2 linked regions of the Caenorhabditis elegans genome follow. The protein of the gene in region 1 interacts with the protein of each later gene in a pairwise test. Each region holds a gene or a part of one and is shown on either strand. Other genes may lie near its edges.

Region 1 (3,755 bases):
ACTGGAGACTTTTCAATGGAAATCTCGCCAGTTCTTTGGTCTTCCGATAGTGGAGCATGGCAGTGTCACGTCACCGTTCGCCAGGAAAACGGGAAATCTCACACTCTAACCAGCCGTCGTCGTATCAAGGCAGGCGAGATCGGAGTACGGAAAGAGACTCGTCAAGAAATGAGAACGAAGACAAAGAAGGAGGACATTGCGTTGCTTTCTCGGGTTAGTAGTATAACTATTACGAGAAGATATTAGATTATAAGTGGAAGAGAAGCGGCGATGCGAATAAATGAAATGATCTGAGTTTCAGATAGAGGAAAAGCCGGAGAAGATGACGGAAAAGGAGGAAGAACCAAGAGTTGAGGAGAAAGAGAATGTAGAATTCGCTAATGTAGGGAAAGGTGGGCTATTCATAATCAATCCAAATTAATAGAGACGTATTGTTGAGAAGTGAAATCTCTAAAATGATCTTTTTAACTTATAGGAATAACTTCATTTAAGGTAATCTCAATGAGTTTAAATTTCGGAAATATCAAAAGGTTTTGTCAAGTTACGGTATTAAATATTCAGAATCATCTCCGATTCTTCTACAAAAACGAGGAGATAGATCGTCGGATCACTTGCATCACAACGTGGCATCATTTTCTCGAAACTCTGATGACAACGTCTATATGACACGGTAAGCTTAATATAGTGAATTTTTGAAGACCTGCTCCTTTTAGAAAATCCGAAGAAATTTCTACAAATGTGATTTTTGCTCGAACCGACGGAGCGCTTCGGCATCATCACAAGCCAATCAGACATCGAGAGTTGGAACGATTATTCGATGCTCAGATTGATTATGAACTCGGTGAGAAGGGTCTACACACAACTTGAGATTATTGTTAAATTTCAGATATGTCAACCGACGACATGTACTACCAGAATTTGATGAACACACGAGCGCGTGCGCGGAGTGCACATTATTACTACAATGAAGGAAACAGTAAACGAGCATATCTCACTTTTTGTTCGCTATTTTTTGCCACTTTTTACTTGTTTTTGTGAAAAACAATAAATAAATATGGGTAACTTACCTTTGCATTTTTCGAGAAAACATGAGATGATTCCACGATTACCACACTTGACACGTTGCGATTCAGAAGACGTTCGGCGAATTTTGTGGAATGAAAATTGAAAAGTGTGACATCAATATCCGATAGTGAGGTTGTCATTGACGATGATTTTTGAAGTGATCGCATCAGAATTGACAGTGCTGATTTGATGGGAGCATGTCCGTCGGATCGATTTTCTTCGATTACTTCGGAACGCTTCTTTTTATCGTCTGACGAGCTAGTTGATTCTTCGTTTTCTGCGAATTCTGTCTCGGAAGATGTTGCGGGGGGCATCGAGAAATTTGGAGAAGAATCGATGGGTAAATCCAGGGACGATTCTGGAGCAGAATTCCACGACCAGACATCGGGATCAAATACTTGAGAGCTCACGAGAGGTGCCTGAAAATCATTTATTTAAAATTTGGCAAAAAATTTAGATTTCAAACCTTTACATCTTGACATGTAGGATTTTTTCGAATTGTGGAAATGCATCGAATTCGATTCCATATTCGCATTTCTGAAAAACTAGATTATTATTTTATTTTGGAAGATTAGGCTATTATGAACAAAAAAGCAACTTTTGAAAATTGAAATTGAAAAAAAATGTTACAAAATGAAAAGCGAGAGTTTCCAAATCGTGTGCAGATTTCGAGAGACGCAGGCGAAAAAGGAAACGCAAATGCGCTCCACCGCAATTTTTTGTTTTTATTTTTTTCCCATTTCATTTTTTTGCGATGAATATTTAATATATTTGCAATTTTTCCTTTTCTTGTCTTTTTAATTAAATTTTTAATTTAACCAGATGAATTTTCAGGTAAATCTGTACATAAAACTAAGTATTCAACCCGAAAAACAGTGTGTCTAGCATAGTATCAATGCTTAGGTGCTAGTTTTGTACAAATTACGGTTTCCAAATGCCGTTTTCTAAGAAAAATGAACAAAATGGTGGAATCACAGAAGCAGCGCTTCAGGTAAACAAATAAGCAAGTTCAGAATTCTCATTAAAATCACATTTTGCAGGCTATAAAGCAAGAGCCTTTGGATCAAAGGGAACAGCTCCCTGAAGAAATCAAATTAAAACCCGGTGAAATGATTCTTGTTCCAGATGATCCAATGCTTCCTGGGTAATACAATTTTGTTTTAATTTAATCTTGAAACTAATTTTCCAGAAACTCTACAGCTTCTACTTCAAATTTCTCCAGAGAAGAACTTCCGGGTCCTAGTGATGTTGTGCGAACAATTTCTAAAAACGATCTCATGATGTCAAGGTTCATTGATTGAATAAATAAATTTTTTACACAAAATTTTTTTTTCAGAAAAACTGCTGCGCCATCTTCGTGTCCACCGAAGGAGCAGTCGATGAAGCCCAGTTTTCAGACTGAAAAAATTATGGGCGATTTTGTGAAGCAACGGAGGTATTTAAAACTAAAATTTTTAATTCAAACTGTTCTGAAGTGCTTTTTAAAATATAATTTTTCTTCTTTTTTCCAGAAAGCTGAACTTCGCGACGCCGTGGCCAAGAAAAGATCCAGGGCCTTCATCAAATTCTTGGCTCACAGAATATCGACCATCAGTACCTGGGAATCAAATTGAAAATTCAAATATAGAAAATTTAATGTTTGTTGAAAGCAAAGATGAAAGAAAAAAATTGTTTTTTTTTCAGCAAAAAAGTAGCTCCCTTCTACTCTCGCACCACTCACGAAAGTCCACATTCATCTCAAACTGTCGAAGATTTTAGGTCAGAAATTTTGAAAAATAATAGCTCAACAGTTAGAAAAAATGACCGACTGTGAAGAAAATTTAAAAATTTATATAAATTTTTTATGATTTTTTTCACACATATTTCCGATAAGAAAATTATAAAATGATGTTAAATTATGCATTTTTTCAGCGAATTTTTTCGGGTTATCAAATTTTCTTTACGGAAAAAATTGACAAACCGAGTTTCAAATCTAATATTGATGAAAAAACCAAGAAAAACCTATGAGTTTAGCTAGAAAACGAAAAAAAAACGAATTCAAAAATAATTAGATCTTTTTCAAATTTTTGCAAACTTGAAATAATCGTAAAATATATTATCATTAGGGTCCATTTTCTATGATTTGGAGCAAGGGTGGCGGCTTTTCGATTTTAGTTTTTTTTCGATATTTCGGTAAAAATTTGTTTTTCAATCAAAAAACTTTAAATTTTTGCCATTTTTTTTCTTTAAAACAAAATATTTATGTTTTTTCTCACGAACCTAATTAAAATTTAGTAAAAAATTGAATTTAGGGTCAATTTTCTGAAAAAAAATTCTTGTCCAGAATTTTTTTTTGGAAAATTAAAAAAATCGAAAAATGACGCCCTTGATTTAGAGAAAAATCTCAAATCGAATCTACTTCACCTTTAATTAATATTTTTTTTTTGCAGATCGGAATCTCTTGATTTATTGTATCCAATGAGAAGCCAGGAAGAACGTGCTAAAATAACCATGCAAATCAATAGAAGTTCACCAATTCTCGATAATGAACAACAAGTTCTTCCAACGTCAGGAACTTGTGAAGTTTTGTCTCAGTTTATGATTTCGCAAGGAATTCCGTTCGAAAATATCAAGGATAGCTCATTCAAGAAATTGCTCGAACATTTTGAGCCGGGAAGTGTGGTTCCAACGGTGAAAGAGTTGGAGCGGAG
Region 2 (3,755 bases), 1.9 Mb from region 1:
TCCGATTTCGACGAAAATAATTTTTTTGCGCTGTTTTCTAAATTTTAATCTAAATTTTAAATATAATAAATGTCCAAAAAAATTTTTCATATCAAAAAAAAATGTAATTAAAAAATATTTAACCCTTCGGAGATTCTACAAGAAACACGTTATTTTTTGTTCTTTAAAAATACGAAAAATATTTTTTAATATTTATGATCGTTTTCTTATTAAAATTCAGAAAAAAACCGCAAAAAAAAAAAGAAGTTTCGTCGAAATTGGAAAAATTCGATTCTATTGGGGGAGTTTAGAGACAAAAGCGAGACAATTCAAATTAGGAGATTAGCAAAAATTTAAAAATCGTCTGTCTTTTTTTTTCAAATTTAATGCTCTTTTTGGCATTTGAGACCACTTAGAACCGATACTGCTTTAAAAAAAAACTCACTGCCAGGGACGCCCATGAAGCTCCTTTCATTGTGACGTATTTGACATTATATCCTTGATCTACGAAACTCTTCACATGCCGCGTACCTCGTCCATTGGAATTTGCATCAATAACAGACAATTGCATATCAGGAATTTGTTGTTTGGCTTCCAGAAGAACATGATTCACAACAGGACACCAATCGAACACGACAACTTTTTTGAATTGTTGAATTTTGCGAACAAGCAGTTGACTGATGGCTTTGTACGCGTGACAGAAATTTATAGCCAAAGTATCTTCCAGATAAACTTGTAATTCTTCTTCACACTTCATATTAGTGCTTTCCTCAAGTCGTTTGATTGTTCTTTTCAACAATCGAACTGTATTCCCAAGTGCAAATGGCAATGGCCAGTGACCATTTTGAGTCATATGAGCAAGTTGTGGACGAATAGCCAAATCGAGGTCGTGACCGAATGTGGAAGCATTGATATTATTCTTTTCTCGTTCTACTGTCCAATCTCGCAGAAACTAAAATAAAATAATTATACAGTTTGATTGAAAAATAATATTTTACCTCTTTGAAAGCAGCAATAAATTGAATACAAACTGTTTCAACATCTGGAATTTTTTCCAATTCTGCTTTAGCCATAAGCGTTAAGAATGCAGGATGAATGTGTACAAAAGACGTCGCATCATCCAATTGGGCGATTGCTGTTGATTCAATTTCTGATGCTACTGCTTCGTCAGAATCAGATGCAGACGGCAACGTTTTCGTTTGATTTTTTGGAAGATCTTCAAAAGAACAAATCTAATAAATTAAATTATCAAAAACTCACCAAATGTGACCACAGAAGGCATTATAACGTTATGAACATGTCGAACATTTTTCTCAACACCAGTAGATTTCTTTATCGCCGGCTTTAGACTTCCATTAATCTTCACATCTTCAATCACCAAGGTTTCCATTTTCGCTGCAAGCTGTTCTGTGGTTTTCGTGAGCTGTGCATTTTCTTCGATAAGTTTAGTAGTGGATTCAGATGGAACTGCTGAATGCTCTTTTGGCGGTTTTTCCTTCTTTTGCCCTTGATTTTGAGTGCTCCCAGCGGCGGCGGCGGCTTTATTGGCTACAGATTTTTCAGCTGAAAAAATTAATTTATTTTTTAGGAAAAAAAGATAAATAAGATACCTCTCGCTTTTTTCTCAGCTGCCTTGGCTGCTTTTCTCGCTTTTTTATCTTCAGCAGTCACGTCTTTCTGAAAATTATTAGATTTATTGCTTAAAATTCTTATGAAACACTTACGTGATACTGATTTTTGTCTTCACCTTGAGCTGGCTCTTCTGCAGTTGTTGGCGGAACCACTTGCTGGTTATTTTCACTTTTTACTCCGAGAATCATTCCAAGTAACTTTACTTCGTTGTTCAGCTTTTCGAAAGTTTCCTGAAATATTGATGCAAAGTCTAATGGTTTCTGAGTTAACGACATAGATAAAATGAGATAGATTGTTAGTACTTTGAAATGAAGATTATTGTGAAGTTCGTTCGCGGCGGCAGAAACTTTCAGGACGACGAAACCCAAAAAATTCTCAAGTGCAACAAAAATTGAGTAAAGCGTTGAAAACACAATTTCACAATAAAAAATCAAACCTTTAATTTATCAGCAGGATGCTTTTTGTCAGTATTAATATTTTTATCGCTCATTTAAACGAATATTTACAGACGAAACTACAAGAAAATATTAAAATAAAGAGAATAAAAGCTGGTGTCCGAACGCTTGAAATGAAACACGAGAAACGCGTCATGCACGAAAAGTACGTCAGCAATCTCTGTTGGCGCATTATGTGCGCGTTGATTTATTTTTTTGTTGTATTTTTGGAAATCGACAAATTAATTTAATTTAGAGAAGAAATTTCAATTCTTGTAACAGGAAATCATTAAATATTCTTTAAATGAAAGTATTAAACATTTTGATGCTATGCGTAGTGCCACAATGCAAATTCTAAGCACTAATTCCAACAATAACAACAATGCATGCATTTTATTCAAGAATTCAAAATAACTGAACTAAAAAATACTATTTTGAAATTAAAAAGATTATATACTTGTCAATACTGACTCGTGTCAGGAAATCTTTAAAAAAAAGCCGAATACTCAGTTGCTCATCGTGTAACTTATAGGATTAACGTTATTCTCCTGTCGGTTAATCCATCTTACAATAGGCATGTTCTGTCCACAACAAATAATTTTCTTAACAGTCTCGATGCATCCCTGTCGATAAGATTTGATAATAATAATAGTTGGAAGCGGATCCAAAACCGGATACAAAGCAACAGCATGCCCAATTATAGGATGTTTCAAATTCAATTCGATATTCAGCATTGGAGCTGTGAAAAATACTCCGGCGGGTACATACATGAGAAGTAATGGTATGGCCGTTTGAACGACAAGTGCCTGGAGTAACTGGTTCTGAAGGGCTCTCGAAGTTTCAGATATAATACCAGTGCTCTTCAATTTTTTAGATATACACCTATAGCATTTTATACCAAAAAAGAGCACGCTACAAAATGAAGATCCCTGGAAAATTTAGTTGTTTTTTTCTTAATCCGTATTATTTACCACAATGATCAGTATCACGACGACCCCTGTGAATGATTTTACATCAGGAGCTGTATTTCCAAATTTATCTAAAGGCCAAAAATTTGCACTCATATATGCATAATCGTCGATATCAATACGATAGTTTTCAAGTAGATTAGCCCTGAATAATACTTATTTTAGAACACAGTCAACCATGATTCTCACCTAAAAAATGATCTTCTCTCCGAAGTTTCTCCATAACAGTAAAAGCAAATGAATCCCCATAGAATGCTGCATACAATTGGGAACCAGTATGGGAGAAGCTGGCCAACTCCCGAATGATATTTTCGACGGAAGTTTCTGAAAAAAAGTGCACACTAAACACTTTGAAAATGTGTCAATGCTCACGTGTTAACTGTACCGTAACGGTAAAAAAGTGTCCAGCAAACAGTGCAATTGAGAATCCGAAACAAGAACAATATATCCCTGATTTATTCGTTTATTTTCACAAAATCTACACATTAGAATCTTACATATTAAAAGTTGACCAATTAAGTGACTAAAATCATAATGACCTTTTGAGTTTTGAGCAAGAATACAAACAGGTGAAATTTAGAGTGTCAATTCTAAATCACATAGACATTTAAGTTCAGTAAACTAATTTTTGATAGTCAGAGAACATATATAACAGAGATCTAAAATTGGAAACATTGAAGTTTTAAAAAGTTTTTCATTACTCAATAAATTAAGCCAACCCTGCCTTAATTCAATATTAAAA

Evidence for each region.
Region 2: the proteins of C50E3.5 (region 1) and eif-2Bdelta interact in a two-hybrid assay, tested with the Caenorhabditis elegans proteins (one large-scale study listed by BioGRID).

What each region holds. Positions count from the first base shown.
Region 1 is NC_003283.11:7,585,843-7,589,597, reverse strand, and holds the start of C50E3.5 (SpoU_methylase domain-containing protein), read right to left. Parts: upstream 1,603-3,755; 5' UTR 1,601-1,602; coding exon 1,532-1,600; intron 1,485-1,531; coding exon 1,068-1,484; exon of another isoform or gene 1,039-1,067; coding exon of another isoform or gene 887-1,038; intron 842-886; coding exon of another isoform or gene 714-841; intron 671-713; coding exon of another isoform or gene 562-670; intron 393-561; coding exon of another isoform or gene 302-392; intron 214-301; coding exon of another isoform or gene 1-213. Other genes in the region: C50E3.6 (Ig-like domain-containing protein), read left to right, coding at 1-213, 302-392, 562-670, 714-841, 887-1,038; F19F10.11 (Lin-15A/B-like domain-containing protein), read left to right, coding at 2,000-2,056, 2,106-2,209, 2,255-2,353, 2,402-2,500, 2,577-2,702, 2,749-2,823, 3,495-3,755.
Region 2 is NC_003283.11:9,512,263-9,516,017, reverse strand, and holds the start of eif-2Bdelta (Translation initiation factor eIF2B subunit delta), read right to left. Parts: upstream 2,195-3,755; 5' UTR 2,102-2,194; coding exon 2,048-2,101; intron 1,842-2,047; coding exon 1,704-1,841; intron 1,657-1,703; coding exon 1,590-1,656; intron 1,543-1,589; coding exon 1,240-1,542; intron 1,196-1,239; coding exon 978-1,195; intron 932-977; coding exon 425-931; intron 1-424.